Elephas maximus indicus: one gene and its partners. The protein of the gene in region 1 purifies or fractionates together with the protein of each later gene. This does not show direct contact. Links are inferred from orthologs where the notes say so. Each region holds a gene or a part of one and is shown in the gene's direction. Other genes may lie near its edges.

Region 1 (7,225 bases):
GGGGCTGTGGTCAAGCCTTATTCTGTATTGGGGATGGGGGGGTGGGAGGTAGGGAGGGGCTGCTGGAGAATGTATTCAAAACAATAAAACTTCGGACCTTTTTCATGCAGTGATCTGTCCTGGGTGCTGGGTGTAGGCACCACGGGGCCACAGCTTTGGCTTGATTTTCAAAAGACAGGGCCCTGGACTTCCCTGCACCTGCAGTGGGTCTGTGGCCTGGTCTAAATGGGTCAAATCCGGGCCTGGGAAGTGACCTCCTGACCTCAGAAATGATTCAGGTCTCAGCAGACTCTGGCCCTGTATCTGACTGCTTCTTTATTCCTGGAAAAGTGCTTGGGACTTATCGCCACCACCGAGTTGCTCTCACTGTTCTGGTCACCTGAAATGCCCTGGCTCCAAGTTCCCATACCCTGAGGTCCCTAGTGAGGGCCAGGGAGTGCTTTTGCACTGCCCCCATATCTCGCCTTAGGTCACTTCTAAGCAAATCAGGAAATCCCTGGGAGACAAGTCCTGAAACATCTTGAAATGTTAGACCTTACTACGTACCTTAGTGGAAACGCCCCCAGCCAGCAAGTTGAGGAGGGACTGGTTTGATAACCACAGTTAACCATTCATTGACCTACTTCGTGCCCAGCACCTAGCTAGAAGCTGCAGTGGTTTATCTCCTTCAAGACCCAGCAAGGTAGGGGCAACCAGCTCAGTTAAATGACTTGCCCAAGGCCAAGAGGCGGTAGGAAGCAGAGCCAGGACTTTAAATGAGATCAGCCTCCAAAGCCAGTGTTCTTTCAACAACTCCTTTGAGTTTTCCTCCTTAAAGCCAAGATGGTTGGATCAAGATCAGGGACTTGGGATCACAGGATAAAGTTAGAAACCAAGATTGGAGAGCTTTGTAGGATGAGGGATCAAATAATCCGTGAGAAATCCGGGTTTAAAGTTTCCTTAGAGACAAGCTCAACCTCTTCAGTGCAAGTGAGGTCCTTGAGGAAGAGAAGAGAAGGGGTTTCCCCAAGGCCATGGCATTTAGGGCTTAGGGCTTGTTGGATTGGCTTCACTGCAGTACCACCCGGTGCAAGCCTGAGGGGGATGGAACATTGGCAACTGTCTACCCACTCTCCCTTAAACCTCATCTCATGCAAGCCCAGAGTGGGTGGTCCCAGATAATGGCAGTGAAGAGGATCCAGGGATGGGGTATTGGCAGGAAATCCAGACTCCTATGGCGGGCTGCGGGCAACTGCTCCCTCTCCTGGGTGATGTAAGTCACTCCCTGGGGTGGGGGCCCCTGGGAGCGGCTGTGCTGGGTTATTTCTGGAAGTTGGGCTGAGGCATGTCTCCTAGCAACACAGATGCAGTTGAGAAATTATTGGTGGTGGGTGATGGAGAAAGGGGGGTGTCACTGGAGGAAGGGGGGTAGGACCCTTAGCTCATGAAGAGTTTTTTTCAAACACTGCTAACCAATTCTAAAATGGATTAAAACGTTCTCAGCTCCAGAACTGCTCTCCAGGATCAGACCACAGTCCTATCAGCCTTCTTGTCCCAGATTCTGGATAAGGGGATGTCAGGTAGCATCTGGGCTTGACAACTCCAGTGGCTCCCCCAATCTTGAATGACACATCTAAATCTATTCACAGGCCTGAAATACTAAAGTGTCCTGCAAGACACCCTTGGTTCTCTCCATCTCCTCTGAAGTCTTTGGCTACAAGTATAAAGTACTTTATAGATTCTTTACATATTCACTTACCTCATCAGAGACCCTCTTCACATCTAATAGCCCCCAGCACCCCGACAGATCCCTATAGCCCCTTCCTGATGCTTCTCAACCATCCCTCAACCCTTCAGGTCCCTCAGAGATCCCTTAGACACCAGTAGATTCTCCATCTCCCAAAAGCCTTTTACGTCCCCTCAGACTTCTCTGCTTGTCCCCAATAATTGCTCTCAGGTGCCTACAGCCCATCAAAGATCCCTTCACCTCTTCAAACCCTCAAACCCTCCTGACACCGTTAGGCCCCTCATAGACACAACCCATCCCTAGCACCTGTCTATGAATGTTTTCAGCCCCTACAAACATCCTGACAGATGCCCTTAGATCGTCGCCCTCAGACTCCCATGGGCCCCAATAACCTCAGCAGCGGTTGCCTACGCGGAGCCCACTGCGTATGTTCTGGCCGTTAAGTAACCGCCGCTACCCTGCCCCGCTCTGCCGGCCTTGTCGACCTCCGTCCTGTCCAGTGTGGTCTCCAGGCCCTGGCGCTTGGCTCAGATTTTTACTTTCCTGCTCCAAGCTGCCGTCAGAGGGCAGCAGGCGCCGCTTAGCGAGAAACTACAACTCCCAGAAACACCTGCTTCAAGCTATGCGTGATACAGCCTCATGCCGTGAGAAAGAAACGGAGCGTGCCCGCGTTTTGCCTTCTGGATGATGTAGTCCGAAAAGGTTTTAGCGCTAAAGCCAATCTCGCCCCAGGGCGCTGTGTCTGCTGGGAATTGCAGTTAGAAACACACTGAGTGGACGGGATTTTCTTTAGGCCTCAGAAAAGAGCAGAACAGTTCTGCTACCTGAGGCTTGGATTAGCGTCCAAAGACTCCATTTCCCACCATTCCACGAGGCAGGAGGAGCCAAGAGCGCTTTCGCTCTAGTTTCAAGTGTTGGGGGTGAGACGCACGCACGCACGCACGCACGCACGCACGCACGCATGCACGCACAGACGAACTCTGTTTCCCAGCGCACTTTGGGGTTACGCTCCTTCTCGTTTAATTGATGAGGCGACTCAACGAACACCAACCCTAGGCTACAGCTTGCAGCTGGCTTCGCTGTTTTGAGCGCTCCGAACCTCAAACAAAACGCAATGCCGTGCATTCAATTCTGACTCATAGCGACCCTGTAGGACAGATCAGAACTGCCCCCAGGGTTTCCAAGGCTGTTTTTTTTTTTTTTTTTTTTACATCTTTTCGGAAGCAGAGTGCCCCATCTTTCTACCGCAGAGCAGCTGGTGGATTCCCAACCACTGACCTTTGGGTAGAAGCCGAAGGCTTAATCACTGTGCCACTCGAGCTCCTGTGAGCCCTCCAGGATCCTGTAACTTAGGATGCGGGCGGACGCAAAGAGCTGAGTGGGGGTTCAAGACAAATTCTATTTTCATTTCTTTTAACGCTTGGCTCAGCCTCGTAGTGCGACACATGTTAGAAAAAGATAGACCGTATCCGAAAACTGTGTTCTGAAAGACTGTTTCCCAAATCTTTTAGAGGAGGGATGTTTTTCTTTTTCTGCCTAATGTAAGGACACCTGGAACTTGAGTGCTCGGACTCAATTTTTCAACATCCCCCGATCGACTTCGGCACTTTCTTGGGTCCTGGGGGACAAAAAAGGAGGCGTTGAAACACATTTCAGTATCTCAAGGGGAGTGCCATCTGGCTCAGTGGTAGTCATTGGACTCCATTTCCCGGCAAGCCCCTGCGGTCTCGTTTCACAGAGGGGGGGTCAGAATCCGGCCTGGACCCTGGACTATTCCCCAGCGTGCTTCAGGCTCAAAGTGACAACCTTCCTCTTCTCCTCACCCCTCCCCCCGCCAATGGGGAGGCTACCTTGAACTTCAATCCCCAGAAGCCACCACTCCTCGTGTAGCAACTGCGCTGACGCCTTGGTGTCGACTACATTTCCCGACAGGAAGTGCGGCGGAGCGTACAAGGGAGGGGGGACGAGGTTCCAACTCCATTTCCTAGCCTATCTCCGGAACTGCAGTACCCCCTGGGGCTGAGGAACCTCACAGGACTCCATTTCCCGGCTTGCTTTGGGAACTCCTTTACATCCGCAATGCGGTGTGGGCGCGGCCACGACTCCATTTCCCAGTTTGCCCCACGGTTCGATATCTTCAAGTCTACGGACCGACTCAATTTCCCAGTGTGCACCTGGAGCCGGTATTCACTGGTTACCGGACTCCAATTCCCGGCATGCACCAGACACTGCTCATTGACGGAGTGCCTGCGACTACTTTTCTGAAGCACCTCTCGGGGCTCGCCGTTGCCGCAGTGTAATAAGTGTGGGGCCCTGACTATGTTCCAAAGTGCTTCGCGTTCCGCCGTCTGCAGTTCACCGATGGATTGCCCAGGAATTTATTTCCCAGCGTGCAGTGCGACCCGTCGTCCCCCGCCATCTTCCCTGTGGCCTTTGCGAACTCCATTTCCCGGCGTACCACGCGGCTTTCTCTACGGGCCGACGGCGGTGACACCGACGCGCAAAGCAAGCGGACTGCATCTCCCGACGTGCTCCGCGGCGGGCGCTGGGCCGGAGCCCGAGCGGCGCGGCCTGAAGGAGGCCGGAGCACTGAGGAGGCGGCGGCAGCAGCAGCGGCGGCGGGGGCAGCCCGGGGAGCCCGAGCCCCTTGGCCTGGGTCTGCGCTCGGCGCCATGAGCGGTGGCGCGCCTTCGGGGGGCGGCCCTGGGGGCTCGGGCCGGGCGCGGACCAGCTCGTTCGCGGAACCGGGCGGCGGAGGCGGAGGCGGCGGTGGCGGCCCCGGGGGCTCGGCCTCCGGTCCAGGCGGCAGTGGCGGCGGGAAGGCGTCGGTCGGGGCCATGGGTGCGGGCGTGGGGACCTCGAGCTCCGGGGGTGGCCCCAACAGCAGCGGCGGAGGAGGCAGCGGCGGCCCAGGCGCGGGCACCAGCTTCCCGCCGCCCGGAGTGAAGCTGGGCCGTGAGTACTGGCTGCTCCCGTGGGAGGTGGAGATTGGGATTCCCGGGGTCCCTCAAATGTCGATCAGGTTCTTTCATATACCCAGATAAGAGCCTGAGGTCATTGTGCCTCCCAAAACTGGCGTTTGAGCTTTTTACTTTTCAGAGAAATGAATTTTGGGGTCACCATTATTTAGAGTTTACAGTCAGAATTATTAACTTTTAGAGAAGCGGGCTACAGTCCGTGCTCTTCCATTACCAATGTCTCGCGTTTTTGAGTTTTAAAAACAAGTTTGGATATTCGTATCCCTTAAAGAACAGGTTTTGGGGTCACTGTCCTTTGCAAATGGGGGCCTAAGATTATTGTGTTCTAAGAAAACAAGAATAAGATCGCCATCCTCCAAAAAGGGAGATCCGAATTTGTTGTCTCTCAAAGACTGGGGATCTGGATTCAGTATCATTTACAAACGGGGATTTGGGGTTATTGTGTCCCAAAGAACAGGGCAAGGGTTTTCTAAACCTGATAACCAGGTCATCTTCCCTTTTAAAACACCTGGTCGGGCGTCATCACCGGCCCAAAATATGTAGTACTAAACCCCCAATGGTGGAAATTATTGATTATTGCATCTGAGCAATAAGGACAGGTGTCACCAGCCCCCCACAGAACAGGAATTGAGAGTCACCATGCCTTTCAAATCCACTGTTATTTAAAGAACATGGATCGGTGGGTGTTTTTTCACAAAAATGGAATGGGGGGGGGGAAGAGTCCTCCCTAGAATGTGGATTTGAAGTCGTAATTCTCTTAGTAATTTTTCTGGAGTATGGTGCCACTGGGTCTGAAAAAGTGATGTAGGGTCATCTCTCTCCAAAAGAGAATCGCTGTTACTGGGTCCTCAGTTCTCAAAAGAAAAGGGGTCACTATTCTCTAAGAATGGTTCCAAAGTTTGCTGCTCTTCAGAGAATGGGGATTGGGAGTCATAGTTTTTCTTTAAAGAACTGAGGCTGGGAGAGCCCCCTGATGATAGGGATTAAGTTCATCATTCTCACAATTTGGTGCTTGTCTGTCAGGTAGGAGTCTGGGGCCCTGGACTACCCAGATGAGGAGGTCAGGTCAGTGCCTTTTCTAACCCCGTAGTAATTGGGTAAGGGGTAACTCCTCCAAAAGTGAGAGTCAGGGTACCACCACTCTATGAGGAGAGGTCGTTCGTTTTTGTCACCAAGTTACTAGCTCTACCTGAGAAACTTAGAAATTACTAGCCCCGCAGGCGTTTTCTCAAAATAGGAGTATCTCAGGGTTATCGTTCCGTTAAAAGTCAATAAACCCAGAGTAGATGGATTCAACCAAGAGTGACCAGCCATTTATTGCTTTCTAGAATGGAAGTTGTATTATCAGCTCTTGAACAGTGAAGAGATTTAGGTGTCAACATGCTCCCCTATGGAAAGAGGCAGGATTTAGGGTTTCACTGGGAGGGTTCCAGCATCCACCTTGCCTCAAGGAGGGGGAAGGAACAAAGAGGCCCCCTCCCCACAGCCCTGGGATGGGGTGGTGGCCAGAGGGGAAATGTCAGTGGATCATCTGTCCCCATTGTCCCCCAGGTGACAGCGGGAAAGTGACCACAGTGGTAGCCACCCTAGGCCAGGGCCCAGAGCGCTCCCAGGAGGTGGCTTACACAGACATCAAGGTGATTGGCAATGGCTCTTTTGGGGTCGTGTACCAGGCACGGCTGGCCGAGACCGGGGAGCTGGTGGCCATCAAGAAGGTTCTCCAGGACAAGAGGTTCAAGGTACTTAGGGGGGAATGGGAAGAGGAGAGTTGGGCATTGGACGTAACCTGGTGCGAGAGCCCTAGCAAAACAGATGGAGCCTGGGTTCCACAGGAGATCCAATCATGGCCCAGAGGAGAAAGGGGTAAAGAAGGGAACGAGGTGTAGGGAAGACAGGAAGTGTTGAATCCTGGAGATACCAGAGCTGACATTTGTTGAGCGTTCATTCTGCGTAAGTGCTTTATGAGGTTCCTGGGTGGTGCAAACGGTTTGCGCTCAGCTACCAACAGAAAGGTTGGTGGTTGAACCCATCTAAGCAGTGCCTCAGAAAGAAAGACCGAACAATCTGCTTCCCTAAAGATCACAGCCAAGAAGATCCTGCAGAGCTTTGTTCTACTCTGTGACACGTGTAACGTATGCTTCATAGGCAAGCTTTTAGCTAATTTACATATTCTCTGAGGGTTGGTACTGTCCTTATTCCCGTTCTAAGCAGGCAGAAACTGAGACTCAGATAAGCGAATTGCATAGGAAGCGTCTACGTTAAGGTTGGAGTCTGGCCTGTCTGATTGCCAGGCCCTGCACCTTAACTTCTAGTTACATTTCTTCCCAGAGGAGAAAGGACACTGGCAGGGCCATGGAGGTCCACTCTGCCCCAGGTGCTTGGCGAGTTGCGCTCACCAAACCCTGCACTTTGCTGCCGGATGCCCTTCTCTCATTCATGTGAAGGTGCCCAATGGGCTAGTGGAGGCCCAGGGCACTAGAAGAAGATGGAGAAGAAGAAAGTAGAGGAATAACTGGTGTGC
Region 2 (7,650 bases), on another chromosome or scaffold:
ATTATTTTCTAGAGGGTTATACAGAAATAAAAACCTGTAATTCCTGGGATTTATTTTTTAAACATTCAGTTTTGAGAGTCTTTTCTTAGAAATCTCATTTACAGTTTCTGGTTTTGAACAAAAGGTTGCTTACAGGGTTTTCATGTTGCTGCTTATTTACATTTTAAAAGGTTTCTCAGATTAACACTGTGTGCTTCTTCACCCACCTTGATCAGAAACGGCACGATGTAAAACCGGTTGCATAATCTGTAATTACCAGGTTGTGTGTGTGTCTGTCCTTGCAGAGAGGGGAATGCAAAGAAACTTTATAAATAGATACGTCAGTGGAAAAACAAACCACCTTTGTTTAACTAAACTTTCTATTTGTAACGCTACAAAGGGTTCTCATTTTAAATGTTTAATTTCACAGTCAAGGTACATGTTTCAGAACTATTGAAAAGAGATCAAATGTTATGTGTTACATGAAATAAAAGTTTAAGTAGCTTTTAGTTTGCCTAAATTCTAAGGCAGGAGCCCTGGTGGTGCAGTGGTTAAACCCTTGGCTGCTAATTGAGCTCACCAGCCACTCCGTGGGACTACAGACCTGGCCATCTGCTCCTGTAAAGATTACAGCCGGGGAAACTCTGCAGCAGTTCTACTCTTGTCATAAATAGGGTCACTCTGAGTCGGACTCAACTCAAAAGCACCTAACAACGAATTCTAAGTGTTACTAATTTTGGTTGATTAACTTTATTGACCTTTATGTTCAGAACATTGAAATGCAGGTTAAATTCAAACCTCTCCTTTCATTTGGAACTGGTAACTGCTAGTTATTTTAACTTTATTAATAGTTGTTGTTAGGTGCCATCGAGTCAGCTCCAACTCATAGCGACCCCGTGCACAACAGAACGAAACACTGCCTGGTCCTGGGCCATCCTCACAGTTGTTGTTATGCTTGAGCTCATTGTTGCAGGCACTGTGTTGATCCACCTCACTGAGGGTCTTCCTCCTTTCCACTGACCCTATACTCTGCCACGCATGATGTCCCTCTCCAGGGACTGATCCCTCCTGACAACATGTCCAGGGTATGCAAGACGCAGTCTCGCCATCCTTGCTTCCAGGGAGCATTCCGGTTGTACGTCCTCCAAGACAGATTTGTTCTTTTGGCAGTGCATGGCATATTCAACATTCTTTGCCAACGCCACAATTCAAAGGCATCAATTCTTCTTCGATCTTCCTTATTCATTGTCCAGCTTTCACACGCATATGATGCGATTGAACATACCTGGCCTTGGGTCAGGCGCAGCTCAGTCCTCAGGGTGACATCTTTGCTTTTCAACACTTCAAAGAGGTCTTTCGCAGCAGATTTACCCAATGCAATGTGTCTTTTCACTTCTTCACTGCTGCTTCCATGGCTGTTGATTGTGGATCCAAGTAAAATGAAATCCTTGACAACTTCAGTCTTTTCTCCATTTATCATCATGTTGCTCATTGGTCCAGTTGTGAGAATTTTTGTTTTCTTTATATTGAGGTGAAGGCTCATACTGAAGGCTGTGGTCTTTGATCTTCATTAGTAAGTGCTTCAAGTCCTCTTCACTTTCAGCAAGCAAGGTTGTGTCATCTGGATAAGGCAGGTTGTTAACGAGTCTTCCTCCAATCCTGATGCCCTGTTCTTCTTCATATAGTCCAGCTTCTCGGATTATTTGCTCAGCATACAGATTGAATAGGTATGGTGAAAGGATACAACCCTGATGCACACGTTTCCTGACTTTAACCCAATCAGTATCCCCTTGTTCTGTCCAAACAACCACCTCTTGATCTATGTACAGGTTCCTCATGAGCACAATTAAGTGTCCTGGAATTCCCATTCTTTGCAATGTTATCCATAATTTGTTATGATCTACACAGTCGAATGCCTTTGCGTAGTCAATAAAACACAGGTATACATCCTTCTGGTATTCTCTGCTTTCAGCCAGGATCCATCTGACATCAGAAAGATATCTCTGGTTCCACTTCCTGTTCTGAAACTGGCCTGAATTTCTGGCAGTTCCCTGTCAATATACTGCTGCAGCCATTTTTTTTTATATTAATTTTTATTGAGCTTCAAGTGAATGTTTACAAATCAAGTCAGACTGTCACATGTAAGTTTATATACACCTTACTCCGTACTCCCACCTGCTCTCCCCCTAATGAGTCAGCCCTTCCAGTCTCTCCTTTCGTGACAATCTTGCCAGCTTCCAACTCTCTCCATCCTCCCATCCCCCCTCCAGACAGGAGACGCCAACACAGTCTCAAGTGACCACTTGATATAATCAGCTCACCCTTCATCAGCATCTCTCACCCACCCTCCGTCCAGTCCCTTTCATGTCTGATGAGTTGTCTTCGGGAATGGTTCCTGTCCTGTGCCAACAGAAGGTTTGGGGACCATGACCGCCAGGATTCGTCTAGTCTCAGTCAGACCATTAAGTCTGGTCTTTTTATGAGAATTTGGGGTCTGCATCCCACTGATCTCCTGCTCCCTCAGGGGTTCTCTGTTGTGCTCCCTGTCAAGGCACTCATCGATTGTGGCTGGGCACCAACTAGTTCTTCTTGTCTCAGGATGATGTAGGTCTCTGGTTCACGTGGCCCTTTCTGTCTCTTGGGCTGTTAGTTGTCGTGTGACCTTGGTGTTCTTCATTCTCCTTTGCTCCAGGAGGGTTGAGACCAATTGATGCATCTTAGATGGTCGCTTGTTAGCATTTAAGACCCCAGACACCACATTTCAAAGTGGGATGCAGAATGTTTTCATAATAGAATTATTTTGCCAATTGACTTCAAAGTCCCCTTAAACCATTGTCCCCAAACCCCCGCCCCTGCTCCGCTGACCTTTGAAGCATTCATTTTATCCTGGAAACTTCTTTGCTTTTGGTCAAGTCCAGTTGAGCTGACCTTCCATGTATTGAGTGTTGTCCTTCCCTTCACCTAAAGCAGTTCTTATCTACTAATTGATCAGTAAAAAAACCCTCTCCCACCCACCCTCCCTCCCCCTCCCCATGACCACAAAAGTATGTGTTCTTCTCAGTTTATATTATTTCTCAAGATCTTATAATAGTGGTCTTATACAATATTTGTCCTTTTGCCTCTGACTAATTTCGCTCAGCATAATGCCTTCCAGGTTCCTCCATGTTATGAAATGTTTCACAGATTCGTCACTGTTCTTTATCGATGCGTAGTATTCCATTGTGTGAATATACCACAATTTATTTAACCAGTCACCCGTTGATGGACACCTTGGTTGCTTCCAGCTTTTTGCTATTGTAAACAGAGCTGCAATAAACATGGGTGTGCATATATCTGTTTGTGTGAAGGCTCTTATTTCTCTAGGATATATTCCGAGGAGTGGGATTTCTGGGTTGTATGGTAGTTCTATTTCTAACTGTTTAAGATATCACCAGATAGATTTCCAAAGTGGTTGTACCATTTTACATTCCCACCAGCAGTGTATAAGAGTTCCAATCTGTCCGCAGCCTCTCCAACATTTATTATTTTGTGTTTTTTGGATTAATGCCAGCCTTGTTGGTGTGAGATGGAATCTCATCGTGGTTTTAATTTGCATTTCTCTAATGGCTAATGATCGAGAGCATTTTCTCATGTATCTGTTAGCTGCCTGAATATCTTCTTTAGTGAAGTGTGTGTTCATATCCTTTGCCCACTTCTTGATTGGGTTGTTTGTCTTTTTGTGGTTGAGTTTTAGCAGAATCAGATAGATTTTAGAGATCAGGTGCTGGTCGGAGATGTCATAGCTGAAAATTCTTTCCCAGTCTGTAGGTGGTCTTTTTACTCTTTTGGTGAAGTCTTTAGATGAGCATAGGTGTTTGATTTTTTGGAGCTCCCAGTTATCGGGTTTCTCTTCATCATTTTTGGTAATGTTTTGTATTCTGTTTATGCCTTGTATTAGGGCTCCTAGGGTTGTCCCTATTTTTTCTTCCATGATCTTTATTGTTTTAGTCTTTATGTTTAGGTCTTTGATTCACTTGGAGTTAGTTTTTGTGCTTGGTGTGAGGTATGGGTCCTGTTTCATTTTTTTGCAAATGGATATCCAGTTATGCCAGCACCATTTGTTAAAAAGACTATCTTTTCCCCAATTAACTGACTCTGCGCCTTTGTCAAATAGCTGCTTGTATGTGGATGGATTTATATCTGGGTTCTCAATTCCGTTCCACTGGTCTATGTGCCTGTTGTTGTACCAATACCAGGCTGTTTTGACTACTGTGGCTGTATAATAGGTTCTGAAATCAGGTAGAGTGAGGCCTCCCACTTTCTTCTTCTTTTTCAGTAATGCTTTGCTTATCCGAGGCTTCTTTCCCTTCCATATGAAGTTGGTGATTTGTTTCTCTATCACCTTAAAAAATGACACTGGAATTTGGATCAGAAGTGCATTGTATGTATAGATGGCTTTTCGTAGAATAGACATTTTTACTGTGTTACGTCTTCCTATCCATGAGCAAGGTATGTTTTTCCACTTAAGTATGTCCTTTTGAATTTCTTGTAGTAGAGCTTTGTAGTTTTCTTTGTATAGGTCTTTTACATCCTTGGTAAGATTTGTTCCTAACTATTTTATCTTCTTGGGGGCTACTGTGAATGGTATTGATTTGGTTATTTCCTCTTCGATGTTCTTTTTGTTGATGTAGAGGAATCCACGTGATTTTTCTATGTTTATCTTATAACCTGAGACTCTGCCAAACTCTTCTATTAGTTTCAGTAGTTTTCTGGAGGATTCGTTGGGGTTTTCTGTGTATAAGATCGTGTCATCTGCAAATAGAGATAATTTTACTTCCTCTTTGCCAATCTGGATGCCCTTTATTTCTTTGTCTAGCCTAATTGCTCTGGCTAGGACTTCAAGCACAATGTTGAATAAGAGCGGTGATAAAGGGCATCCTTGTCTGGTTCCCGTTCTCAAGGGAAATGCTTTCAGGTTCTCTCCATTTAGAGTGATGTTGGGCTGCAGCCATTTTTGAATGATCTTTAGCAAAATTTTGCTTGTGTGTGATATTGATGATAAAATTGTTCTGTAATTTCCACATTCGGTTTTCTTGGGAATAGGCATGAATATGGATCTCTTCCAGTCAGTTGGCCAGGAAGCTGTCTTCCATATTTCTTGGCACAGATGAGTGAGCACCTCCAGCGCTACATCTGTTTGTTGAAACATCTTGATATTCCATCTATTCCTGGAGCCTTGTTTTTCGCCAGTGCCTTCAGAGCAGCTTGGACTTCTTCCTTCAGTACCATCGGTTCCTGATCATATGCCACCGCCTGAAATGGTTGAATATCTACTAATTCTTTTTGGTATAATGACTCTGTGTTCCTTCCATCTTCTTTTGATGCTTCCTGTGTCGTTTAATATTTTCCCCATAGAATCCTTCACTGTTGCAACTCAAGGCATGAAGTTTTTCTTCAGTTCTTTCAGCTTGAGAAATGCTGAGTGTGTTCTTCCCGTGGGTTTTCCATCTCCAGCTTTTTGCACGTCATTATAATGCTTTACTTTGTCTTCTCGAGCTGCCTTTTGAAACTTCTGTTCAGTTCTTTTAGTTCATCAATTCTTCCTTTTGCTTTAGCTGCTTGACATTCAAGAGTAAGTTTCAGAGTGTCCTGTGACATCCATCTTGATCTTTTCTTTCTTTCCTGTCTTTTCAATGACCTTTTGCTTTCTTCATGTATGATGTCCTTGATGTCATTCCACAACTCGTCTGGGCTTCGGTTACTAGTATTCAGTGCGTCAAATCTATTCTTGAGATGGTCTCTAAATTCGGCTGGGATATACTCAAGGTCATATTTTGGCTCTCGTGGACTTGCTCTGATTTTCTTCAGTTTCAGCTTGGACTTGCATATGAGCAATTGATGGTCTGTTCCACAGTCGGTCCCTGGCCTTGTTCTGACTGGTGATATTGAGCTTTTCCATCGTCTTTTTCCACAGATGTAGTCAGTTTGATTTCTGTGTGTTCCATCTGGTGAGGTCCATGTGTGTAGTCACCGTTTATGTTGGTGAAAGAAGGTATTTGCAATGAAGAAGTCGTTGGTCTTGCAGAATCCTATCACTCGATCTCCAGCATTGTATCTATCACCAAGGCCATATTATCTAAGAAGAAAAATCTTTCTGCACCCTAGATCCTGTATTTTCCAATGTATCATAACTTTAAGTTCTTTTCTTACTAAAAATACTGTGTTCTTTTCACCATAGAAAAGTTAGACTATTAAAAAAAATTAAGCCGTTAATTATTACCTTAACTTTTAATAGAAGAACAATAACTTCAGTGGAAGAGAGTGGTAAAGATTTAGAGAAGGACTCAATACTAACCCTTCTACCAACTCTCATTCCTGCCCCAGGCCCAGTGCCAATGCCTAGAATTTTTTAGTTAGTTCTGGTAGTGTAGTGGTTAAGAGCTCGGCTGCTAACCAAAAGGTCGGCAGTTCGAATCCTCCAGCCGCTCCTTGGCAAACCTGTAGGGGTAGTTGTGCCCTGTCCTGTAGGGCCGCTATGAGTTGGAATCAACTCAGTTGCAGTGGGCTTCCTTGGATTAGATCAGTACTTCTCAAATTTGTGCTCACATATTCTCTTCAGAGGCAAAGGAAGCCCAAAGGTGTGGAAGTGTGGCTTGAGACTTCAAAATATTTGTGTTTTTTTCCTTCAGAATTCTAGGCAGTTCTGCATTGTCCTCCGTTAGGTTGTTACTCTGGCTGTGTAAGGTGTTTTCCAGGAATGCCCACCATGCTCATTCTGTGGTTTTGTGTGCCACAGAGCTGAGTACCACAGCCTGGGAAGAAGTGTTAGAATTTTTTCTTTGGTTTATTCATTCATAAGATATTCATTGAGGACCTGCTTTATGCCAGACACTGTGCAGGTGATACACACAAGTCCCCGTCCTTACGGGCCTGTGGTAGTAAAGACATAAAAATCATGTGTAGTGAGGTATGGTAAGTATGGCGGTGCCCATACAGACAGTGCCAAGGAGATAGTAACTGTCTTGAGATCAGAGACAGCCCCTGAAATAGGTGGATTTGAGCTGAATTTTGAAGGACTAAAAGCCTGCAAAATAGTATTAAATCACAGTTTTTTAAAAGTGTGGCTTACAAAGCATTGTATAATGAGTATGTGTCAAAAATGTATTTAACTCGTTAATGAAGGAACCAGCAAGATGGTAAAGTTGGTTCAAAGTAATATCGTAGAGACCAAAGTATATGTAGTCAATGAAAGAAAAGATATAAGATTTCAAAGTTACCTCAAATTGGCTGATGGGGTTTCCACTTCTGTGTAAGATAAACTAACAGACTGGATTGACCCTCCCAACTGAAACAGCAGAAAAGTTGGCAAATATATGAAACAGAAGTTCTCAGGACTTTGAACAGTAGGCGTTGAAGGAGAGTGATTTCTGAGAGACAGTAAACAAGGTAAGCCCTACAGTTTCCCCATTTTACTGCCTGGAAGGACTTTACAGACCACAGCACGGGAAGGAAAAACCCTGGAGAGCCCAGCAGGGTCCCTAAGCTGAGGACATGGAGCTAGGAGTCTGGGAAGATCAAGGTAGTTAGGACAGATTATTAGAATGTAGAGAGTTGCAGAGAGAGCTAGAGCGCCAGGTGGAGATACACAGGGATCCCCCTTCAGCCTTCTGTTAATACCCATCAACACATGGG
Region 3 (7,265 bases), on another chromosome or scaffold:
ACTTTCAGCCAGCAAGGTTGTGTCATCTGCGTAACGCAGGTTGTTAATAAGTCTTCCTCCAATCCTGATGCGCCATTCTTCTTCATATAGTCCATCTTCTCAGATTATTTGCTCAGCCTACAGATCGAGTAGGTATGGTGAAAGAATACAACCCTGACACACACCTTTCCTGACTTTAAACCCATCAGTATCCCCTTGTTCCGTTTGAACTGCCTCTGGATCTATGTAAAGGTTCTTCATGAGCACAATTAAGTGTTCTGGAATTCCCATTCTTCACAATTTATCCATAATTTGTTATGATCCACACAGTCGAATGTCTTTGCATAGTCAATAAAACACAGGTAAACATCCTTCTCATATTCTCTGCTTTCAGCCAGGATCCATCTGACATCAGCAATGATATCCCTGGTTCCACGTCCTCCTCTGAAACCGGCCTGAATTTCTGGCAGTTCCCTGTCGATATACTGCTGCAGCCGTTTTTGAATGCTCTTCAGCAAAATTTTGCTTGCGTGTGATATTAATGATATTGTTCTATAATTTCCACATTCGGCTGGATCACCTTTGTTGGGAAACGGTAGCTTTCGGGACCCCACAATCTGTAAAACAATGCTCTACCCAGAATGAAATTCCAAAAAGAAGTTTGTCAAAAGTAAAAGATTCAGATTGATTCATGTGATGATTTTCTTTATATAATATTTTATTGTGTTTTTGGTGAATGTTTACACAGCAAATTAGGTTCCCACTTAACAATTTCTATATAAATTGCTCAGTGACATTGGTTACATTTTTCACAAAACCAACCAAACCAAACCCAGTGCTGTCAAGTTGATTCCGACTCATAGCAACCCTATAGGACAGAGTAGAACTGCCCCATAGGGTTTCCAAGAAAAGCCTGGCAGATTCGAACTGCCGACCCTTTGGTTAGCAGCTGTAGCACTTAACCACTAGGCCACCAGGGTTTCCCATTTTTCATAGTGTATCGAAATTATCATTATTTCCATTCTGGTTATTCTGTTTCCATTAATCAAATTTCCCTGCCCCCCTCTCCTTACCTTCTCATCTTTCTTTAGAGTATATGTTGACAAGTTTGGTCTCACACAGATGATTTTTCAAAGGAGCACAGTACTCACAGGTGATACTGTTTATTTTATAAGCTGTCATGGATTAGGAAACCCTGGTGGCATAGTGGTCAAGTACTACAGCTGCTAACCAAACGGTCGCCAGTTCGAATCCTCCAGGCGCTCCTTGGAAACTCTATGGGGCAGTTCTACTCTGTCCTATAGAGTCGCAGTGAGTTGGAATCAACACCACGGCACTGGGTTTTTTGGGTAATGGGTTGAATTATGTCCCCCCAAAAATGTGAGTATCAACTTGGTTAGGCCATGATTCCCAGTATTGTGTGGTTGTCCTCCATTTTGTGATTCTAATTTTATGTTGAGAGGATCAGGGTAGGATTGTAACACCACTCTTATTCAGGTCACCTCTCTGATCCAATGTAAAGGGAGTTTCCCTGGGATGTGGCCTGCACCACATTTTGGAGATTAAACGAAAGAGAAGCAACCAGAGTTGAGGACCTCATACCACTAAGAAAGCCTTCCCCTGGAGCTGACGCCCTGAATTTGGACTTGTAACCTACTAGGCTGTGAGAAAATGAATTTCTTTTTGTTAAAGCCATCCACTTGTGGTATTTCTGTTATGGCAGCGCTAGATGACTAAGGCAGCAGTCATACCATTTTCAACCCCAGAAAAACGCTTGAAGCTTATAAATCCTGAACCAAAGAATAAAAACAGAGATTAGAAACTGCTCCTATTTATTTTCATCTTAAAATTTTAAAGAATCAGGTTCAGAATAGTATAGCTAATAAATGGCTGCTTTGACCACATTCTCAAATGAACAATTTAAAATAAGTTGTTGGTCTTTTCACGATAAAAACACTCGAAAAATCAGGAATGGAAGGAAACATTTACAACCTAATAAAGGTCACCCATTCCAAAGAAACACGATTCAACAGAACGCAGAAATTATCAAGCAATATCATGCACAAGTAAAATTTTGCTGAAGATCGTTCAAAAAGGGCTGCAGCACTATATAAACAGGGAACTGCCAGAAATTTGCCAGGATTCACAAGAGTACATGGAACAAGGGATATCATTGCTGATGTCAGATGAATACTGGCCGAAAGCAGAGAATACCAGAAAGATGTTTACCTGTGTTTTATTGACTATGCAAAGACATATGACTGTGTGGATCATAGCAAATTATGGGCAACACTGTGAAGAATGGGAATTCCAGAACGCTTAATTGTGCTCATGTGGAACCTGTGCATAGACCAAGAGGCAGTCTTTCAAACAGAACAAGCTGAATACTGCCTGGTTTAAAACCAGGAACAGTATGAAAGTGTTGTATCCTTTCACCGCACTTATTCAATCTGTATGTTGAGCAGATAATCTGAGAAGCTAGACTATGTGAAAAAGAACAGGGCATCCCGTTTGGAGAAAGACTCATTAACAAACTGAAATACGCAAATGACACAACCTTGTTTACTGAAAGTGAAGAGGACATGAAGCACTTACTGATGAAGATCAAAGACCACAGCCTTCAGCATGGATTCCGCCTCAACATAAAGAAAACAAAAATCCTCACAACTGGACCAATGAGCAACATCATGATAAATGGAGAAAATACTGAAGTTGTCCAGGATTTCATTCCATTCCACCACTTCCTAAAGGATTATTACTCTAAGTGTCATCCTCAGCACCACTCACCAATACCCTCGATTTCTACTTGTTATCTGGATCCCTGGCCCCCAATCTTTCCCTCTTGCATCCCCTTTCTAAAGCATCCCCCTCTGTTATCGATAAAGTAACAAGCACCCTGTTGCTTTGCACAGAGTCCGAACTCTCCTTGTTGGATTCTGTGTGTTTGTGGGTGTGTGCTTTGTGGCTAATTTTTAAAACAACTTTAAAACCAGTTGCTGTTGAGTAGATTCCAATTCACACCGACCCCACGTGTATCAGACAGAACTGTGTTCCGTAGGATTTTCAGTGGCTGATTTTTTGGAAATAGATCTCCAGTCCTTTCTTATGAGATGCCTCTGGGTGGACTCAAACCTCCAACCTTTTGCTTAGCAGCCAAGCAGGCTTCCTAAACAACTTTTCCAAAATGTAATTTATATGCAGTAAAATTCAGTCATCTGAAGAGAACTTTCAATTATTTTTAGTGAATTTACTTAGTGGTGCAGCCATCACCATAATTCAGTTGGTGATGGCCTGGTTGGCTTTTAAAGGCAGGTCCACCAAAAGCTTACCTATAAATGCAGTGTCTGAAAGTTAGGCCTGGAGGGCTTGGAATTTTGAATAACAGTCCAAAATCCCCAAGCAACATGACACTAAAGGATCATTTTCTGCTCCTTTGGTTAAAAATGAAGTCTTGGTTTACCACTAAGCCAACCATAATATCTACAAAGGTTAAGCTAACCCACATCTCCATTTTTAACCAAACAGCTTTCCATTTTCCCCTCCTGCTAGCACCTCAGCAGGGATCCTCCCTACTGGGCTGCGGAATTTTTCTTAAAAGAAGCCTTTCTAGCTCACGGCCCCCCCCAAGCCCGTCAACCTTCTCCTCTGTCTTCAGCAACTCCAGCCCTAGTCCAGGCCCCCCACGCCCATCCGCCTGATCAAGAAACACTAATCACCTTAATGTGTGGCCTGTCTTTGCCAATTCCAACTCCGCCATTACCACTTGCACCGAAGTGTCCCTTCCTACCTTCCATCCCAGTCAGCCTTGTTTTCCTAACCTCTAGCCAGGCCCTCTGCCTGGCTCCCCCACCTCTCCATCTTTGCCTCTCCAGCACTTCTCGTCATCACTCTCCAAGCACCAGCACCCAGGATCACGAAAGCGCGAAGGTTAAAACAATATTTGTCGCGCCGAGAGAAGGGGTGTGTGTTGGTGTGTGTCTAAGTGTATGTGCTTGTGTGTGGAAGAAACCAATGGTGTCCGCGTCGGTGTCCAACTTCTGGAAATGCCTATCACTGCTGGCTAAGAAAGCCAGGATCAGCTCCCCAGTGCACTCCCGCACACCGCACTCGGCCATCCTGAGCTCAGAGGCAGCAGGGCTTCAACCTGAACCCCAGACCTGCAGGACCCCTGCCCTCGAATGACACACCACCCCCAGTCCCCGCGCTGTGGTAGGGCCGGGCGCTACGTCACCCATTGTTTACAAATCTAACAGCGGGTAGAATTCTGGCTCCCGCGACTGCAGGCGCGCAGCGAGCGCCTGGCGGGCTCCGGCTTCCTAGTCCTCCGCATCCCCGGCCCTGGCTTTGGCGTCAGGATCACTCCCGGCTCTGCTGCGGCCCACCGAACCCTAACGGGAGCCGGGCCGCCGACGACGCCTGCAGAGCTCCGGGTGCCCGGGCCGGGGGCCATGCCGTGCCGCAGGGAGGAAGAAGAGAAAGCCGGCGAGGAAGCGGAGGGGGAGGAAAAAGAGCAGGAGGATAGCTTTCTCCTGCTGGAGCAGCCAGCGAGGCTGGGCGGATCGGCCGAGGTGGACCGGCTAGTGGCCCAGATAGGCGAGGCGCTGCAGCTGGACCCGGCGCAGGACAGCCCGGCCTCCTTGTGCGCACCGCCGTGGCAGCCGCTGCAGCCACCGCTGCCCCTGGCTGAGGTGCCGGCGTACAGGGCCCGGCCCCCGGCGCTGCCGCTGCATCTGCCGCCCTCATCGGTCGAGGCCACGAACCTAGGAGCCCTGTATAGCACCTTCGGGGACTGCGGCAGCGTGCGGGACTGGGCTGCGCCCTACTTAGTGGCCGAGTTTGCCGCCGGCCCCACGGCGCTGTCACTACTACCCCCTCAGCCCGGCTTTGAAGGAACTCCCGGATCCGGCAAGCCGGGCGCCTCGCGGCAGCTGTCCGGGCGGTGCCGGCGAGGATGGCTCCGGGGTGCAGCCGCCTCCCGCCGTCTACGACAGCGACTCGGGCCCCGGGCCAAAGGCCGCACCAGCGACGACGACTCTCACCGTCTCCTGCAGCAGCTCCTACTCTCGGGAAACCTCATCAAGGAGGCAGTGCGGAGGCTTCGCTCGCGACGGCTGCATTTATATGCAAAGCTTCCCCAACGCCGGCTCCCGGGACCTGTGCTCCCCCGCAGCTCTCGCGCAGCCTGTAGTGACCCTGGCGCGTCCAGGAGGAGCGCGCCGCTCAGAACTGCAGACAGAGTTCTTGTCCCCAGCAGCTAACAAGCCCAGGGTACCCACAGCGCCAGCCTCAGACTAGGCGTCGGGGGTACCCACGGGACTGCAGCCCTGCTCGAGACTAACGGAGAACTCGCGCCTTTGAAAGCAGAAAATATAAGCTAATGAAGACGAGGAATAGGAAAATCGCGAAGGTTTCCGCGGGGAGCTGGGGACAAGCGCCCCTCTCTTTGAAATACAGGTCTTGGCCCTATTCAAGGCAGATTACATTTCGCAACCCCAGTCCTAATAAGACACGTACTGGTGGCGCAGCGTGCAGTTCCTTGCAGCTAGCTTCTCAGGGCCCTACAGCCTGGTGGCCATGTGACTACAGTCCACCCTACTCAGGACAGCAGAGCTCGGGAAGGACGCTGTCCAGGACCGGGGCCCGGACGCCCTCGTCGCGAGTCCAGCGGCCTCACTGGGCTCAGGCTGGAGGGCGATCCCAGTTACTTGATCAACCGTTTCAGGGCTGGTCCCTGATCCATTTTGAGGGAGGGAAACACAAATAGACATTGATAATTCCAGGGAGCACCTCAAACTGCCAGGCCTGAAATTTTACATTTAAAAAAGGACCTCATGTCTTTTGAAGTGCTCTTTCTTAATATAAAACGCACGTACCATGAAAGGAACCTTTGAGGGTTGAATAGGAGTAGCCTTTTTCTCTGCCCCTTCTTTGGGGCCGGCTGCTGTTTTCAGAGCCGTCGGGGAAGGCTGTACTCCTAGCCTGGGGACAGGAGAGTAGGACCCGGACAGGAGGTGTTGGGTGGTGGAAAGGTAGAGTGAGGCGGGGAGTGACCCGTCGGTCCTCTCTAAAGTGGCTTTTAACAGCCGCCCCGCCCCTCCTCCGGGTCAAGGTCAGTTTTCTGGTCGCACATAGCGGTGCCAGGCTCCAGCAGGGTAGAAGAGTCGCCGGGCTCTGCCTATACTCCGAGAAGTGCGCGGTGTTTTGCAATTGCTGGAGTCTCCTGAGGACACGCGCGCCGCCGCCACCGCGGGTGTGGAGAGGCTGGGCTGTGCCCGGAGCCTGTGCTTCCCACTGACGGCTGCCGCCCCTGGCCACGCTCTGGGCTGTCACGGACACTGTCCTGAGACGTGGCCCCAGATCCCACCTCTGTCCCTCGGCTCTCCTCTCCTACTCAAGCGGGTGGCGCGGGCGTTCCTGGGGGCCCGGGCTGGGGGCTGGGGAGACGCCACGTGACAGGCACTCCAGGGACAGCCTCTCACTGCAGCTTATAATGGGCTCTCCGGGGCTTTTTGCAATAACAGCTGCAATTTCCTGGATAGGAGTTGATTTCCTCCCTCTACCCCACCGCCAGCCATGCCCACTCGCCTTTGTAAGTGAAGTAAACCGAGTAGAAAATGCTACTCTCCAAATGGAGAAGCAGCAGGCTTTGCCTTTGTGAACCGTGGTGAAGTGCTTGGAGCACGCTGCGCACTCACTCCAAGGGAGCTAAAACCTTCTAGTTCTTGCTTTAGCTTTGTAGGAGTCAATGGCTTGTCCATCATCTGGATGTGGCTATCTACACTTGGCACTGGAGTGTCTGGAATTGTGGCTATCCTCATTATAGGATTTTATCTTAAATACGTTTTGAATAAATGTGTTGGGTTTTTGCTTGGTTTTATCCTTCCGCTCAGTGGAAAAGATGTACAGAACACATTTCTCTGATCTCCATAAACATGAAAACACCTGAAATCCCTGTCAGCCTGGCTTTGAGATGGTAATTACAGCGTCTTTGTGACTGAGGATCTCACTAGTTAGACAAGGTCTGTGCTGGGTGTGTATTGGTCCTGGCATGAAATTCAATGAAAGTGAGGTCAGGCTTTGGACCAATCCCATTCACCCAAACCTCAGAGCCATTTGGATTACTGTTTAGTAATGGAGATGATTTATGATTTTTTTTTTTCTGACTATGTTAGCAAGGGACATCAGATCAGTCATCGCAGACTGGGAAACATATCGTTTTTTTCTTACTAGTGCAGTCATTAAAGGATTCCCTGGGTGGTGCAAACATTAAGTGCTCGACTACTAAC

Evidence for each region. Proteins that work in one complex are often made in the same cells at the same time.
Region 2: the proteins of GSK3A (region 1) and GSKIP purify together in Homo sapiens (affinity purification with mass spectrometry; 7 studies listed by BioGRID and IntAct, with this or other methods). This does not show direct contact. The link is inferred for Elephas maximus indicus from reciprocal best matches to the Homo sapiens genes GSK3A and GSKIP.
Region 3: the proteins of GSK3A (region 1) and FRAT1 purify together in Homo sapiens (affinity purification with mass spectrometry; 4 studies listed by BioGRID and IntAct, with this or other methods). This does not show direct contact. The link is inferred for Elephas maximus indicus from reciprocal best matches to the Homo sapiens genes GSK3A and FRAT1.

The regions. Positions count from the first base shown.
Region 1 is NC_064829.1:108,673,959-108,681,183, forward strand, and holds the start of GSK3A (glycogen synthase kinase-3 alpha), read left to right. Parts: upstream 1-4,213; 5' UTR 4,214-4,398; coding exon 4,399-4,681; intron 4,682-5,727; coding exon 5,728-5,769; intron 5,770-6,255; coding exon 6,256-6,443; intron 6,444-7,225. UniProt on the Homo sapiens protein: Constitutively active protein kinase that acts as a negative regulator in the hormonal control of glucose homeostasis, Wnt signaling and regulation of transcription factors and microtubules, by phosphorylating and inactivating glycogen synthase (GYS1 or GYS2), CTNNB1/beta-catenin, APC and AXIN1.
Region 2 is NC_064828.1:117,391,124-117,398,773, reverse strand, and holds the start of GSKIP (GSK3B-interacting protein), read left to right. Parts: upstream 1-4,622; 5' UTR 4,623-7,650. UniProt on the Homo sapiens protein: A-kinase anchoring protein for GSK3B and PKA that regulates or facilitates their kinase activity towards their targets.
Region 3 is NC_064834.1:49,097,664-49,104,928, forward strand, and holds FRAT1 (proto-oncogene FRAT1), read left to right. Parts: upstream 1-4,237; 5' UTR 4,238-4,427; coding exon 4,428-5,237; 3' UTR 5,238-6,753; downstream 6,754-7,265. UniProt on the Homo sapiens protein: Positively regulates the Wnt signaling pathway by stabilizing beta-catenin through the association with GSK-3. May play a role in tumor progression and collaborate with PIM1 and MYC in lymphomagenesis.